Stegostoma tigrinum: one gene and its partner. The main gene of each other region encodes a partner of the protein of the gene in region 2 in a complex. Links are inferred from orthologs where the notes say so. Each region holds a gene or a part of one and is shown on either strand. Other genes may lie near its edges. The genes, in order: elavl4 and igf2bp1.

Evidence for each region.
Region 1: igf2bp1 (region 2) and elavl4 share a complex: the UniProt entries of both Homo sapiens proteins name them as parts of the TAU mRNP complex. The link is inferred for Stegostoma tigrinum from reciprocal best matches to the Homo sapiens genes IGF2BP1 and ELAVL4.

What each region holds. Positions count from the first base shown.
Region 1 is NC_081361.1:61,863,073-61,872,067, reverse strand, and holds the start of elavl4 (ELAV-like protein 4), read right to left. Parts: upstream 4,234-8,995; 5' UTR 3,989-4,233; coding exon 3,941-3,988; intron 2,284-3,940; exon of another isoform or gene 2,128-2,283; coding exon of another isoform or gene 2,119-2,127; intron 1,837-2,118; exon of another isoform or gene 1,710-1,836; coding exon of another isoform or gene 1,686-1,709; intron 1,251-1,685; exon of another isoform or gene 1,036-1,250; intron 1-1,035. UniProt on the Homo sapiens protein: RNA-binding protein that is involved in the post-transcriptional regulation of mRNAs. Plays a role in the regulation of mRNA stability, alternative splicing and translation.
Region 2 is NC_081384.1:4,738,480-4,747,746, reverse strand, and holds the start of igf2bp1 (insulin-like growth factor 2 mRNA-binding protein 1), read right to left. Parts: upstream 3,911-9,267; 5' UTR 3,631-3,910; coding exon 3,456-3,630; intron 2,247-3,455; coding exon 2,186-2,246; intron 1-2,185. UniProt on the Homo sapiens protein: RNA-binding factor that recruits target transcripts to cytoplasmic protein-RNA complexes (mRNPs). This transcript 'caging' into mRNPs allows mRNA transport and transient storage.

The DNA of each region.
Region 1 (8,995 bases), on a different chromosome or scaffold from region 2:
TTTCTTGCAGCAACAAGATCTATTTCCTCCAGTTTCCTTTCACAACTGTATTAATACTGTCATACGATTGCAAATATCCCAGTTATATTTTTACAATCACATTAAATTTGCCAACAAACCTATAAATCTGGCAAAATTTCCTTACCTACTGCAGATTAATTTTAAATTGTCAATGTAATAAGTTAATTAATGGTAAAACATTAAACTAAAAGTTAATTTGCTTTGAATAATATCTTTAAAAGATCACAATTAAATTTTTATGAATACTAAAGTCAGCAATTTTTAAAAATAATGTTAATACCAATTCCAAGTGTTTTTAAAATTACTTTAAAACATATTTCACCTGATTTAAAGGATTTAATTGTTTATTTAGCATGATTTCATCAGAAATGAATTAGCCTTAAATCATTTTTAAATCTAAAGTTGCCTTCACTATGAAATGAACAGCGTTCAGAGTTAAGGGCATTTTATACAAATAAATATTTATTATTTTATTGCACAGGCATATAGCTAATCTTGCCATATGTGTCAAAGCAGGAACAAAGAAATAAAAAAATGTATTTGTCTACTTTGGGGTGGTGTCCTGCACAGATAGAAACCATGTTAAACAACAGATTTTAATCTTTAGGCCTTATGAAATTCAGAGACTGGTATAACCCTATAATGCACAGCCCATCTTCCTTTAGCATATGAAATCGTTTTTTATACTATATTTATACACACACACATGCACACACGCACACACACACACACTAATTGAACTAATAAGAGCAACTCATTTGACAAACAATATTCTATAAACAGTTAGTACCCTCATCCTGCTTTAGTTGTAGTTAGATATCTTTGCTTTCTCCAGTTCCTCACATCAAACGCATCACAGTTTTAACTTTAATTGAACAATTAATGTGTTCCTCTTTGCTAAAGTATTATAACGTTAAAAAAAATTGGCTCAGCAATAATAATTCAAATGAACAGGGTAGCCTAGTGAAAAATTTTAGTCATATCTGTAACAACCACTGGCAATGTAGTACTCACAATTTAGTCTTATGGGTTTTATTTGACCAGTTTTCTTTTTACTTATTGACTCTCACAATATCGTCCCCTTTGACAAGTTCAGCAACACAGAAAGAAAATCCAATGAAATGCCATTCACATTTCAGGCACAGATGTCTAATAATAGCTTCAAATGAGCTAGCCTCCAGTCTGGAATATAATTAACACCTTTTGAAACAATTAAAGTTGTGACTCTCACAGAATGGAAGAGACAATCACAGTGCCTGTTCTACCGTTTGCTTCATGGTATTCCCATATGACTGCCACCTGCTCTCTGTTCAGCTTCCTTTAGCTTGTTTCCCTGGCAACCTTTCACAGGCTTTTCTTTCTAGCTATCACTTTCATTTCAGCTGTTCAGTCTAATCTTATTTATATTGCACCCATCAAAACAAGTAGCTGATGATAAAGCCCACAGATTGCGTTGAATGGAGAAAAAAATAACTCTTTTCTACTCAACTCCCATAAATGCTTATGAACACTACAGCCTTGGTGCTCATGTATCTCAAATAAAATATGCATAAAAACCAAAAGGCATTCCTTTACTCAAAGAACAAATGTTTTCAAATACTGTATTAAAACCAAAAGAACATGTTACTGATGCTGAGGAAATAGCATATCTTTTAATCACCTACCAGTTTTAAACCACCCCATTCCATTTTTGATTAGCAAGAAATTTGTAGTCTTCAGTGAATCAAAACTGAAAGGACGTTATGTAAAAAGCAGACATGCCTCCTCTACAACACTGATTTTTCGAGTTACAAGAAATCAACATTTACCACATACTACAGCATACAAGCCTCCTCCTCTCTGATGAGGTCACAACTGCAAACTCTTTGAAATACAATATGTGTTTGTACGGGTGCTTACATAAATCACATCCTTTAAGTCATTGTAAATGCTGAATACTATTTTTGGACCCTTCACTGAAGCCTGGGTATAGGATTTAATTTCATTTGTTTCTTCACAGATAGACTTTCGTCATTATACTAATAAAAGCTACATTAAAATGAACCATTTTGGTACGTTTCCTAAGTAGATTAAAATATACCAAGTCCTAGTACATACCATAACCATTCTTATTGCACAGGATTAGATCTTATCGTACTTGAAATCTCCAGGAGAAGACCTACAATATTTCAATTCCTCTGTTAAAGATCCAAAAGCACAGTGCAAGTGTTTGTGCAAAACAAAAGAAAGCTGTACGGAATCTATGCTACAGGAAGCAACAAATCAGCTCACAGAATTGGCTGGCTTCTTCACCCTTTTACTCCCATTTATGGGACCATCTGTCACTACTGCTTGTGTCTGATTGGCTAGAAAAATAAAAGGCTGTCATGACATCAACTGCTATTGAAATTAGCTTTTACCAGATTGACGATGTTAATGATGCAGTGACCTCTATGCACAACATAGAAGAGCTTTTGAACTGCACAATGTCTCTGGTAATTAGGTCGAAATTAAGAAACCAACACACACACACAAATTTTCCCTTAATATTGTGTACTCTGGATTTGCAATCTTCAACATGAAATGTAGAGAAGACAAGATGTCATATCTCAGTCATGCTTCAATGCTTGCATCACATAACCATTGTGAAGCAAACTGGGCTTTAAAATTTATGTGTTTCAACTACCTTATCTATTCTGACAGTTGCTTTCTCAAAACGTGCATAATTAATACAAAGCCTTGGGGCTCACAGTCTACTTTGTGCATGAAGAGAATTATATAAAGAAAGTGAATTTATTTCAGAGTTCAACTTCAAGGTTTTCTCCCTTAAACTACTCTCGTGAATTCTTTATTCTACTAAACTGAAAAATATTTATGTGATTCAAAACTGTCCCATCAATGATGTACGGGCTTCAATCTGACTTGAAACAAATTTCTATACTGTAATATCAAAATTTATTTTGTCAGCTTATGTTGTCTCTTTACCACACATGCAAACCGGCATGTTAAACTGAAGAGTTAACAAATCTCAGCAAAAGCCTACAAAAATGATGGAGTTAATATAAATAAGTACAGCCATTGCTTATAAGAAAACAAATACATTTAACAGTCATGTTGCACCAAAAAATTCACAACTCTTAATTGTTGAACTGCAGCCACTGAAAGGTACAGTGAAAAAATTTCTGGGTAGAAGTCAATATTTGGCATATTTTTGTGACAGCAAAATTATATATTTTCAACCTATTAAATTAAGGAATAGAACCGGTAACAAATTTGTAATATTGAGAGAAATTGGCTCAACAAACAATACCAGCATGCCATAATTCAAGAAATCAACAGTTCCAGGATTACAAGCCAAATGTTTTTCAACTATACTGAGAAGCAAAGAACAATTTTAGTTTGTGTTGAGCACATTTCTGTCAGTATTCTCTTAGTAATTTACAACAGTTAATGGAACATAGATTTTCCATTATAAGCTTTTCTCTAGCTTCATGAGCAATCACTTACATGATCAGTCAGATTACAACTCCACATATAAAGTTGCCCATTTTCTAAAAAATGTGATTAGTTATTCATAAACTATACACAGAAACCCCTCACTTCAGTTATATGTTGTCAATGTTATCTCTTAGCAGTTCTCCCAACATGAAATTTGTCCTAACATTAGCATCAGTTGTCATTGAGCTCACACAAACCACACCAGCTAATTCAGCATTAATAATCACCTATTCTGTAGTATTTTGAAGCTTTAAATATAATCTTCAGGCCATAGCCCACAAAATATGACAAACATTCTGAATCTATTGAACAAAAAATGTAACATAATAATTAAGTACCACATCATCAGCAGAAATCTTAAATATATTATCTGAACACTATAACAGTTTAATTGGAAGGAATAATATGCAATATTGTTTGCCAGTAAAATAAAACACCTTACCTCATTATGCAATAAAGCAGCATTTAGTGTTCTGCCAATTTCAAACATTATACTGACAGTTCAGATTTACACAATCAAAAGACTTCTTTTGATAAACATTTGGCCAAATGCATTAGCATAGGGGCCTGTTTTCCGCAGATTCGACCAGGCGACAAGATTGGTCAATTTTTCCTTGTCTTAGCCAGTACTAGCCCAACAAACAGCAATGCAAATTTTCCTTTATCAAGTTCACATTAAGACTGTGTTAGACGAATTGCTGAGGCAGATTATATTACTCCAACATGGCTGTTGAGCAAATGTTCCTCTCCACTTACAGTTCCCTGCATTACCACAAGGTGAGCAGTGTGCCCAAACTTAAGTTTGTTTCTATCCTCTAAATTTTCTAACTAAACTCTTTCCAAATATATAAACCTTGACTCACATGACAGAAAAAAAAGCATATTTGCACCTACATTAATCAAGATTTTGTAAATTTTTATAGTCATTGGTATACCTTAAACTAATCTCAGAAACTTGAGCAATAAAGGTATAAGGAATGCCGATACTGATTGAAAGCTCTATGATAATTCCATGCAAATCTTACGACCAATATCATCATAACAATTAACAATAAAACAAAAAGCTTGCAATTTTAGTTCAAAAATATTTTGTTCATGATGAGGAAATAATGTCTACTAAAATAGGCCTGAAAAGACATCACCGTTGGTTATTTTCGTACTATTTGCACGGTCAATAGGAATTCCAAATAAACTCAGTACTGCTTAGTACATACTCCCCCTCTATATGAATCAAAACAATGTACAAGGTGTAGTCGTGGAAGAAAAACACCATTGAACTGGAATCTGCCTGACTTGAGATCAAAATATCAAATATTTGTTCTGGCTCTATTACAGAGGATAGAATTCATAGTGACTGGAAACAACTAAAATACCTTTTCAAAAGAATTAATCCAAAGTAAGGTTAAAACAAAAGGCTGTTATCAAGAGCACAGACATTTGAGACTCACAAATTCATTCTGTAACAGTTTCATGTTTTTGCTAAATTAATAGAATAAATTGATTATTTTATAGCATAAACTCTAATTTTGCTTGCACTCCAAATTGCCTTACAGAATTTATGTTCTATCTGTCCTACAGAGACTGAGCATCTGAGGGTAATAAATCTTCTGAATAGGGCCTTAATTTGAAGCTACAGCCCACATAACGATTTCAACATTTCTGCCCGAGAAATGTACAATGCTAAACAATTCAAGCTTTAATTAAAGAATATCTAATAGACAAGACAATTCTTTAATTTGTACACTATTTTCCACTGCACTAGGAAAGTAAAAGTACAGTATGATGGAATTAATTCTGAGAATAGATAATGATTGTGAGAGTAAAAAGAAAATCTATTTTTTTGAATAAATACATGTTAGAATTCAGACCTTTTACTTTTTAAATAAGGTATTTTGTTTTTGAGGAAATTGTAATCAAAAATAAAATCTAGTTATAAGCACTTACCTAATATGGTGCTGCCCCAAGGCACATTTATTAAATCAATACTGACCTATTGATGCACCACCATCTGCTGTACCACTGAACAGTGCTTAGCACAGTATAGTAAACAGCATGGTAGTGTCACTTTCAGTCTATTAGAGAACCAACAGAGCCTTCAACTGATGGAGTGTGTTATGAGATCCTTCTAAAATGGTCTTCATACTAGTTTCTAGCAAGTGTGTGCAATTCCTATTTCATGCTCAGCAAAGCAAAGATTCTATAATAAGTGTTTTTTTTTGTTTTTTAACCATAACCTGCAATTTATGCAACCCCGTTCCTGACAAGTCTCTTTATGCAATTAGTACAGTACTATAGCCCTGAAGTTCTGATCTAATGGCATTTAGGGGGTGAAAAAGACGATCCTAAGCTTTTATGTCTAATTGAAATTCTACTGCAACTTACAGCAGAAGTCAAACAGGATGTAGATGCACCCGCACTAGCAAGCATGCAGCTATCCACATGATAGGTTTAAAACAAGCTGCCTTCATCAGTCCTAATTTCGTCATTTCCATCCTAGGATTTGTTAATTTAATTTATGCCTCTACAAACTGGTGAAACTTGGCGCAGCAACCGAGCAATGATAATGCTGAAACTTAAAGGGAAAGCGCTTGCTTCACTGTGCAGGTACAAAGAATATCATTATTTTGCTATGAAGATTTCCTTTTGAAAAATTGATTGCAGTTCACTTTTAAGATGCTAGCCTCATTAATGGATTCTCCCTTGAGACTATTTCCTGCTTGCATACAATATGGAGAAAACTGAACAATGGTTTTACGTTGGACATTCTACTTGTGTTTTATCGGTAAAGTAACTGTAGTCAATAGTGAAATCAGAATCACAAGGCACGATCAGTGATCATTATTCTTTGACAAAATAGCAAGTCACCTGAGCTTACAGCCCCAAAATATCATTCTTCATGCAGTAAAGTGGTAGGTGTCCAATATTCCATGGGGAAAATTTTTAAAAGTAATCTCAGAGAGGTTGAGAAGGTCAGTACTTACTGGACATCTTTCATTCCCATTGTGAGTTGGCGATGGGCCTTCTTATTAAATTGCTGCAGCTGAAATGATGAACATGGCCTAAACAATATGTTCAGTATTAAGTTCGAGGATTTTGACCTAGCTACAATGAAGGAATGGTGAAATATGTCTGAGTCATGTGGCGTGTAACTTAGAAGTGTCGATGTCCTATGCATTTGCTGTCCTCGTTCTTCAAAAGTGGTGGATGTTGCAGAATTGGAAAGAATTACTCAAGAACCCTACGTAAAGTATACACTACAAAGCCAATATGCCCATGATATATATTTCATTTGAATGATGTGGTGCCAAACCAGGCAGATAGCTTAGTACTATTTGAGACAAAACAGAGTGTTGTGAGAACTGCATCCAACCAGACAAGTAGTGAGTATTCTCACATTTTCCTGACTTCTCTCTCTTGCAGGTGACAGCAAAGCTTTGGAGTGCCAGGAAGTGAGTGACTCACCATAGAGGCCTGAAGATTCTAGGAATCACAGCTAGTTGCAATAATCTCAGCATCGATCTCGCTGGGCTAATTCAGCTCCTAATTAATGTTGATGCTGAGGCGAAGCTATTGAACATTAAGGGTAATGGCTATCTTCTCTCATATTCAAGCAAAATACTGCAGCTTCTGGGAATTTGAGTAAGAACTGGAAGCACGCAAGAAAAAGCTTCAGAGGGCCTGGCAGCAGTTGTGGAGGAAAAATTTTTTTTGCCAAATGACCCTTCTTTGCAAGTGAAGGGAGTAGAAAGGCTGAGTTTGCTGACATCAAGGAGCATAAGAAATGCGCTGTAAAGAAATGCTTACTTCTACATTCTACGCATGTGCAGTTTCACTGCAGATCAGGACTCAGTGGAAGGGTTGGCATCACGACCCAGGAGATAAACTGAGAAGGGGGCAATAGAACAAAAAGGAAGGTTTCGGATAGAGTAGTGGGTGGCGGAGATTAAATGACAAAATGTGTCATGGAACGAAAGGCAAAGTAAGTGGTTATAGTAAAGAAACAAAGCTTTGGGCTAGAATAGGTCTTAATGGCAAAAATATATAATAGATTAATTTGGAAGCTAAAACATGATAATGACACAGAAGGCTGCAAAGTGCACAACTGAAAGGTGATGTACTGTTCCTCAAGTTTGTGCTGAGCTTCTCTGGAACTGTTAAGCAGGCTAAGGACAAAGATGTAAGCATGAGAGCAAAGTGGCGAATTAAAATGGCAATCAACCTGAAAAACAGGTTATGATGGTGGACTGAGCAGGTGTGTTTAGCAAAATGGTTGTCCATTCTGTGTTTGGTTTCTCCAATAAAGAGGTTATGTAAAATCCAAACTGATGTATCTTTTAAAAAATACATTGCTGCTGAAGAAGAAACACTTAGAACAAAGAATGCTCACCCCAATACAAGAAGATGCAAGTAAGTCTGTTTATTGACTTGGCATAGCAGAGATATGCAGTATGGGAACATCAAGATAAAACTGATTGCAGAATACAGAAAGCAGGAACAGGACTAGATGTAACAATCCGTTATTGACCACCATATGAATTGTACTTAGAACAATAATAAAAGAAACATAATTAAATCAATAAAACACAGTAGGCTGCATTTTACCAAAAATCAGTTAAGAGTCAATTTTAAGAGGTTTCATAGAGGGTTTCCTTTTGAACTCTATCAGGTTTTCTCATGCAATTCTCTGTGGCTCATCTTACTAAGTATGGACAACATCCCCATTCCACCTTCTCATGCTTTCTTGCACTAACGAGCAATAAACTGCCCACTGGTGCTGGAACCTTCCAGCTTTTGCATCACAGGTGCCACTTTTAAACCCAGCTATGTACTATATGAAACACTGTCAACCTGGTCTGAAATAGGCACCCAGGTTAGCATAACATCCGTGGTCTAGAGGAATGCAGAGCAATGATCAATGACCTTTGGCAAGGGCCAATTCCACTAACTTCCTTCCCTCCGCTAGCTTGCACTCAACCTAAGTTTGCCACTGCACCCACCTCTCACGGCTCATGGAGTGTCACTCTCAATATTGCATGTAACATCTTCACTAAATGACTTTCACTCACTTCATTCAACCTAACTACTAACTCTCCTGGCATCTGCAGTTTCTACTCATTAATTTAGGACAGCTCACCGCTTTTCTTGATTGGCAAAAAACTAGCCCCCCCCGACTGACCACTGTCCCCCTTTATCGTTCATTGTTGCAAAACATGACAAGCTGCCTGATTATCTGTCTGCACTAACAGGAAAGTCAAAGCAAGACAGTCAGCATCCAAGCACGTGCAAATTGTGTTAGTGCTAAGAAATTAAGTCAATGGCCTGAGGTGCACCAGTTCCGACCCATGAGATAGGTGTCTGTGCATCCACATAAAGCTGCGTTTAATCTAAGAGGTGTTGGTGAGTTCTGAAGTTCAATATTGAAGTGCTGAACTGTATCAAAATTGGGTCCCAAATATGTCTTGATGTGCCTCTGGCAGGGCTGGCGCTTTGCAGATGC
Region 2 (9,267 bases):
CAATAGGTTTGTACTTTTGTTTTACAAATGTTCTTATGAAATACAAGAAGATATCCATTTTTCTAATGACAGATTGACAGCAAACACAACAAAGTTAATTTCACTAAATCTATTATAAAATTGTATTTTATCTGCCTTCAGAATTTCAGCAATTTATCCTTTCAGTAAATAGGATCATTGAACCAAACATTTAAGTACACACAGACAATACTCCATTGAGTAACAATGTTATTTCATTTGAACTTTTACTTAGATTTCTATATTGATCTATTTAATATCTATTTTCACAGTTTTTTTAAAGAAAAAGCTAAAACTCCAATGGATATTACCACAAACATTGCATTTTGGATCTTCAGAATTTCAAGCAAAATTTCCACAAAAACAATTTTAAGTGCTTAATTTTTAACAAAACAAAATAGTTACATCTCTTTCAGGAAGACAGGATGTTAAGGTTTCATATGCAAAGTCTTTAAATTTTGTAAATGTAAACATAATAGAATATTTTAAATAAAGCAGTAAAGAATGTAGGTAGTTCACCACCACCAAAGAATTGAATTTTAACTGTTGAATTTTTTTAACTAACTTGGGCAGTAAAAACAATAAATTGTGTTTGCAGTCTATATATTTAGTGTTTACTCATCATTCCTTCCAAACCAGGTTCATCAATAAAGAACAAGGCAAAAGGTTCTTAACTAAATTTTGAATGTTCTGATCAGATTTTTTAAAATCATTGATTATAGCCATGACAATTGACTTTAAATTATGTTTTGCTGAATATTGTAACTACTTTTCAAAACTTTCAAATTGGCTGATTCAAACTTCATCTTCAGCCTTTTGAAAATACAGAGGGGGGGGCACAGTTTGATTTACAAACCTCCATGGATTATATCTAACACACCAGATGATGTTGCGTTACAAAGCATACAACTGTCTGGTTAAAATGCTAACATGGAGGACAATAGTTGCAGCTAAACCGAACTAATAAATTGCTCTCTCTACTCTATCATTTTAAATACATAATAATATGAATTGATATCAAGTGATTATTTCTAATCCAGTGCTTAACTTCTTTTATGGTATCTTTTGAACCAGCACTTATAGACATTTTACAACAGGCACTATCCAGTTTATCAGAATAAGCAAAGATACACATGCACCAAATACTTTAAAGCAAGAACAAGCAAATACTTTTACAGGTATGTCTGTAACCCAAACCAGGTTCCACACTGAATAGCCATCATGTTAGATTCTGGGTCAATGTTTTAACTTGGGTTTCTGAATGAGAACTCAGTCAAACTTTCTTATTGGAATTGTGCATCCCGTTTTGTAAAAGGTCATGCATGGCAAAACACATCAAACAGAATTCGTTAACTATTGCACTCAGAGCAATATAGGGACATGAAAATGCCAACGTGTTCGCACAGTTCTGTTGCAAAGAATCCTTAGTTTCGAGACAACGCGTCCCTTAGCGATTCAAAGCGAAAATGGAAAGGGTGGTAAAGAAACTCGGAAGATTGATTTTCCCACTGCCCCTTCAGCTCATTTCTTGCAAGCTCTCTCCCGTAGGTCGAGGCGTTCCCGGAATCGGCTTTGGAGTCAAATGAGATTTGAACCCAAAGCAAGGCTTCAGCGTTTGCAACGTGATCTACTTGAGCGGTTTCGCCAAAGGTGGGGGGTTGGGGGTGGGGGTAGTGTTGGAAATGGTGCATCTCTAACCGTCCACCCTCTCCCCATTCTCAAATCGTGACCTTTTAAATTTCTGAGCAGAAAAGCGGGAAGAGCTCGTTAAAGCTACAACAAAAATCACTGGATCCAGCTCCTCGACACTGAACCTATTTTGTCGCCCGTCGCTTTAAATCTCCAGAAAAACACATTGCAGTTCCAGCCGCGGGTTGCTGCCCACAATTGCTGCACTACTTCGCCTCAATTCAAGATTGTAATAACATCATATAGATTCAGGAAACAACTAATTTGAAATTTGTTCCATACTGCAGCACAGTATAACCACAGTTTTTTAAAAATAGCTTCTCTGAAGAGCTTCACAACTTTGTACGTCTATTTTATTTTAATCACACACACTTTCAAGCAGGAACCAGAAACAAATGTCTAATTCACTTCATAACAACTCTCCAGGATATCGCCAAATAAATATTCAAAGCAAAACAAGTATTGAAATTGCTAATACCTCTGCCGCTTGGGTACTGAGTGTTCCACTTCTATGTGTCTCCCATGGAGTTCCACTTTACCTGTAAACAAGTTCGATTTGAATTTTATTTAGTAAAATAGCGTTTCGCCTTCTTCGTCTACACTTGTACAAACACACTGGGTGAAATGAACCCCTGTTTTTATCAGGATGGATTGTCATTTTTTTTAAAAAGAGTGTGAGGGTTGAAATCTGTTGTGCATAATTGAGGATTAATTTCCTTAGTAAGTTACTGAGGAACTTTAGGATGAGGTCGCTGCTATGTATATCCAACACACATGGAAATACATTATATATCGGACCTGAAAGTTATATTTTATCTGGATAGCATAGGGGTTTTCGCCCTAGACATTTGCATGCTTGCAGTCCTATAGTATTTTCACAATCAGTATGGCCGACCTCGGCTCTGTGTGTGCCCCATCACAGGCTGTATTCAATTTCAGGAATCATTCAGAGAGCTGGGGGCGACCGGCATTCACTTACAGCCGCCGTTTTGGGGGGCCAGTCAGAGGGAAGGAGGGATAAATGTTACCCGGACTGGTCGCCTGAGGAAGGGGAGGGGGTGTCGAAGAGACGAGAGACAGAATTAAAACTGCTAACGTGGTATTATAACGGAGCTTGCAAATGACGGCCTACTATCACTAAGGGGAAGGACTAGCTAGCATCGAACCATTCTCTCCAAGAGACACCCTGATCCAAAGGAAGGGGGGGGGGGGGGGGGTGGTGGGAACCAGATCCCGCAGCAGATCCAAAGATCTGACCCAACTGGGTTTCCTTATCTGCGATTTCTTCCCAAAGGACGGAATAGCAATCTGACTCTTCCTCTATCTTTTTTTTGGTCAAACGCCGCGTGTGTTGAGTGTAATTGACTAAAAAAAAGAGAGAACCTGCTGGTTTCCAGAAACATAAAGCCCCCTCTCACGTACAGGAGGAATTGGCGCGTCTTTCCCACCCACCCCCACCCCCTATCTTTACATTAAAATCTCTATTATCTATCTTTCTGTACAATCAACATGTCACGCTTTTTGGGGAGGGAGTGGAGGACTCGAATCATTAACGTGTTGGTCAGAAATTAAAAAGGGACCAGTGCAACTCTCTCCAGAACAGAACCTTTTCCTAGCCTGGAGGAGTAGGAGGTAGGTAGGCCATTGCTAGGAACTGGGTAGGAACACAGAATCTCGCCGAGTGAACGGCGTTCTCAAGACAGCTTCAGCTCTCCCCTGCGTTTTGGATATCGGTTGAAATCGCTTACCGGATAAGGTATCGATCGCTTTCATTGCCCAGCTCTCATCTGGGCAATCTACAAAGGCATAGCCCGCTTTGAGTAGAAACTGCCCAGAAAAAGGAATCTTCCAGTCGTTGAAGATAGTTTCTAACTCTGGCACAGTCACGCTCTCACTCAGATTCCCGATGTACAGCTTGTTCATTGTGATTCTTAGGGCTTCTCTGTTTTTTTGGGGGGGTGAGCAAAGAAGGGAGGGTGTAAAATTATAACAGCACCTTCGAAATAATGATATATCCAACAACAACAACACAAAAAAACCCCACCAGCAGCAGCAACTAAAATGGTAAACGGTTGTTGCAAAGGGAGGAGAGAGAGAGAAAAACACAAAACGGCCAAAGAAAAAGTGTTAGCCGGAAACAGGGAGTTATGAAACGGTATGGCGGGCTGTGAAAGTCTATCTGCTACCCCCAAACCCCGTTGAGTCAAACTGAAAATGTCACAGGACGTTGCTGGTGGCACCGCCTCCAAATAAAATCGACCTTAAAAAATGAGTGAAATATTTGCCTGGGAGAGGTCCACGTGGTTACACACGGCCGGCCCCTCACGTGGAAGATCACGTCAGTTTCACCTCCCTCCGAGCCCCCCCCCCCCCCCCCCCCCACCACACACAAACAAAAATCCCTTTTGTTTACTACACAACATCACCCTGGCTGCTTCTCCCTCCTCACCACCCCCCACTTGCAGAGCCCTTCACGCCAGTCCCATAATAACGTGGGTTTGTTCAATAGCACTGCAACAGCGCCCAGCTCTCGCCGGCTGCTGGAGGATGTTTACTCAGGAGGGATTTTTTTTGAATGAAAATCTCCTGGGTGGTGGCATTTTTTTCTCAATGAGCTATGGCGATCTGGCGCCAAAGTTTTCCTCAGTCGAGGAGGCTTTGGGGGAGAGTGGGGAGGAAGGGGGTGGGGGCTCGGCTTCTGAATCTTATAACACTTTGAGCTTTGATGAAAGAGTTACTGGTTGGACACCACTACGCTCACTGTCTCCTCTGTTCCGTACCCATCTGCCTGCCATCCGTTACAGCCAACACAAGCTCCTTCAGGAGTGGAGCGATCAGTTCTAACTCCAAATAAAAGAATTAATTAATATCGAAAATTACCCATTGACCTTCGACAGGAAGTGCATTTTCACAGAAACTCTCTATTGGAACGAATTCCTGACTCACCAACACCCAAGTGACTTTCCAAGTGTCCTCCCATTCTGAAACTATTTCTTTGAGGAGTGCAGGGCATTGAGTGAGGTGAATGTTATCGATTGTTTTAATGTATTTTAAGTATGATGAGAAGTGTTGTGCCCTTCATCTCTACAATCATTCTCGATCCACCGTTGCTCGGTAAGCTAAGAATTAATTGGTTCATCACATACAACAGCAAAAAAACCCACACATCGCCCCGGGATGTGAACGGGATTGAGTTCATTTCGACTCCTACAAGGAGTCTGCTCGGTTCCCCGTAACTTTCTAAACGAGCAGGAAACTCTGAATCCACACGGTTTAGAATTGATTTCTTCTAGTTCGCGTTTCTGCAGAGGTATTCTGATCAGGAGTTTACAGTCCTTACAACAGTCGCATAGGGTCAAACCATAAAGACACAGGAGAGCAGTGGCTCAATATTAGTCCCTGGGGCTGAACCGACTCAGCAATGTCTGAAAAGACCGCCTCTGGGCGTCCTGTGAGGGAATCGCTGTAAAAGATCTTTCAATGGGAGAGATTTTGATGTTGAATGACTTTATCAAAAGAGCTGTACCCATTAAAAAATATTCTCCCAACCTCTGCTGCTAACTTACCATCCCTCTAACCACTCTCCGCACACCCCAAACTTACTGCCACACCCATACCTCCCCACATCATCCCCGCATTACCACCTACATCTCCAGCCACCCACGCCACCTATCAGTTGGCACGAGGTAAATATTGCACATTGGAACCGTTCCCATGTTCTCTGAGGGTGAAGTCCACGACACAGTTTAGAACGCAAGTCTCCGACGGAATATTTAGGCAAGTTCGTTGGGAGATCATTCGTGAACTTTCGCTTTTTTTTCTCTCTCAAACATGTGTCCAATATTCCCAAGGCCAGAATCCAGAAGAACATCAAACCAAAAAAAAAGTTCTGCGAATGCTGGAAACCAGAAACAAAATCAGAAATTGCTGGAAAAGCTCAGCAGGCCTGGCAGCATGTATGGAGAGAAAGCAGAGTTAACGTTTCGTTAAAAAAAAAGCAAAGCCGTTCTGGGGAAGGATCATTGGACCCAAAGCCTTAACTCTGTCTTCTCTCCATAGCGGCTACCAGACCTGCTGAGTATTTTTTTCCAGCAATTGCTGAGGAACGTGTTTTACAGGAACTGCCCTATAATGTGGTTGGAAACAAAACTGTCAACATCGAATACCGAGCGAAATTTATTCCAGAGAGAAATCATAGGACGTCAGGACGTTGTTCTCTCAAGTTAGTTACACAGTTCTATACAATCTCCATATACAAGCTGCTATCTTGTAACTTGCCCGTTATTCGTATTGAACAAAGGAGCTCCATATGTTCAACAATGATTACCCATGATTGGAGCAGTGGGAAATATAATCTCACACTGAGTGATCTTTACATTTTCTCCCTTTTTTTTAAAGAGAGGAAAGGATTGAGGAGGTGGCAGGATGGAATTGAGCTCCAGATTAACCATGCTCTGATTTTAGAGAGAAGCACATTCAAGGGACCGAGCGGCCTCCTCCTGTCCAACGGGGCCCCCCACCGTACCGTGCCCCCCACCCTCCCCATTCCATTCTCACGGATTACTGACTGCCCTGTGAATAACGAAAAACGACACAAGATACCAGGTGAAGCAAAACTGCAACTATCAGCAGGTTACGCGGCAGAACGCTCCACATTTCAATTTAATGGCTCAATTGCACAAAGACCAGAATTCGGTAAGGATCACTGTTGGATTCCAATAGATCTTTGTAAAAACCGGAAGAACTGCGGTGCTGTAAATCAGACAAAAAAAGTACAAAAACTGCTGGAAAAGCTCAGCAGGTCTGGAGGGCATCTGTGGAGTGTAATCACAGTTAACGTTGTCATTCGACTCGAAACCTTAACCGATTTCTCTCCACAGATGCTGCCAGACCTGTTGAGCTTTGCCAGCAATTTCTGAAGAACGTGTTTTGCAGGTCCTGCTCATTAATGTGTTTGGAAACAAAACTGTCAACATCGAATACCGGGAGAAGCTTATTCCACAGAAGAAGAAAGTCACAAGGGAGCGGGAGTGGGTCATTCGGCCCCTCGGCTTTCTGTTACTATTTACTATTCAATAAGATCATGTCACCTCAGCTCTGTCTTCGAGTATTACTCGCGGATCCTTTCCTTCTAATTGTGTCTAAAAATGTATCGACCTCTACCTTCAAATACTAAGCCTTTTGGAATAAACTGTGTTTCTGTTCTAATATATTGGCCTGTCGAGAGTCGGCAGCGTTTTATTGTAGCCTAATTAGTAACTGTCCCGCCGCCGCCCCTAGCCCCGTTCCCCGAACGGGAATATTGAATCCAGAACCTTGCGGACCAGTGTCCTGCTGAACGTTTTATACGTTATCACCGTTCAGATCAGTCACTGGAATGGGTGGACCTACCAAAACCACATTGCTGTTTGTGGGATCTTGTTGTGCGCGATTAGACTATGTGAGAACTGAACCGGTCATGTCATTGACTCTGGTCCACCTTGAAGAGCCTTGATGTTGAGAAAGGCGCTTTAAAGATGTAAATGCTTCCTTAAATGAATGGATTTGGAAAATAAAGATGTGTCTCAAAGGGACATATTCGCCACATTTCCCCCGGCCAATTCAAATTTGCCCAGACGCGACCCACAGTGTCTGGCGATGGGGTACGGGGTAAACTTATCTGGCGAGAGTTAAACACCGCTTGGCATTAACTCAGTGGCACGTACCTGTTGCAGGATGTGAACTCGACCCATTTGGATCGTGTAATTACACCCGCAGGGATGCAATAATGATGGCTCCCGTGGCTTGACTTGTGGGGGAGCCATAGATTGTTTCATTGTGAAAAGAGATCTGGACTTGAAGAGCGCACAATATGCTGTGATTACAATTTAGGTTAAAATATGTTTTTTGTGTGTGTTTGTGGTTGTCATGGGCGCGGGGGTCGAGTTGAAAACTCGCAGAGATCAACAGTTTCGCTCTTTGCGCTGTTAGTGATCATCTGGACAATAGGTTGGAAAAGTGAAGGGAAAGAACTTCACACGTTAAATGTTGCGGGAACTTCAGAAATCAGGATAAATAATAGGGATGGGAGGACAGAGTTGGAAGCAAGGGTGTGAAGAGAAAAGTTTGATATCGTCGCCTTAAATCTACACATGTCCCTGATGAGTTTAACCACTCAGCTTGTACATGAATGGGACTGTGGAAGCTGAGGTACAGTAACTGACGTCGCGGAGTCAGTGTCCTGTAGGAGCGGAACAATTTGATTGTTACTTGGAGACAAAGTTGCGTTTTAATTATACTGAACCAAATAAAACCGACTTAGAAATTAGTTTGGAGGCAAGTCTTAATTATTGTTAACAATTGGACGTATAAAACCGTCAGTGTGCACCTCACTGGAAAAAAGAGTTGCAGAACATGAGACTTTACAAATAAAAACACGTTCTGAAGAAGGGTTACTGGACTCGAAATGTTAACTCTGGTTTCTCTCCACAGAAACTTCATTTGCTTCGAATCGGAATTCGGAATCATTTCGTTAGGGTAGGCACGTATGAGAGGAATGTTGTGCAAAATGAGAAGGGCCTGCTCAAATCACTCTGTTGATGATCGCTTCGTAAATTCCCCAGAGTAATTCTACCCCAGATTGTCTTTGGACTAAAGATCTCACTCGGAGACCATGCACTTGAACTCTGGAAACTTCTTTGACTTCTAACTAGTTAACTGGTAACATTTTAATGAATCGCCTTAGAAGAAACTCGACTCAGAAATCTAGACAAAATGATGGACTTCAGAGACAACAAATCTGTCAATGGAAAACTTTTGTTTAAAATGATTGTTCGAAGTCAAAATTAAAATATTAGAAAGGAACACCAACATGTCAAAAAACCACAAAGGGATATTGACTTTTGCTAAGTTCATTTCACGAATAGAGATATAGTTTTTAAACGCTAGTAGACATCTGACCAGCTAAATAAGTACGTGCTCATATTGCTCCTTATGGGAGCTTGCTGTGCGCGATTTTACTGTCGCTTTTGCTACAGCAGCGACTATACCTTCATCGATAGTGAAGCGTTTTAGGATGCCGTGAGACTGTGAAAATGACATACAAAACTTTGTCTCACTAATCCCAAGATTCAGTCAATCCTAAGTTAATTCTGCTACCTCATGCCTATACAGTTGGTTTATTTAAAATATAAATCTATCTTTATATGAATCGTTAGATATTCTTTGAACCCAGACTCTGAAGTAAAGTCACAGTTCGTGTTGATGCCAATGGGGAACGGACCGTCCTTTTCAAACTAAATCCAATAAACATTGAATGGGGTTATTCAGAGCTCTGGATATGAAGCAAGGCGCAGGATGTCTGATGAAAGAACGTCGCGGAGGACATCACACATTCAAAAGAACCTTGTTTATGTTTAATGCATTGCAAACCAAAAACATCACTTAAAGCCATTAACTTTTAAACAAAATTCAGTTTTGCGATGTAAAAAGTGTGAATGAGGATAGAAATTGGGCAGACTGGGGTACTAATCACAGCAGAGTTTGTTAGGTCTCCGATGCTCTCTCCACAGATGCTCCCAG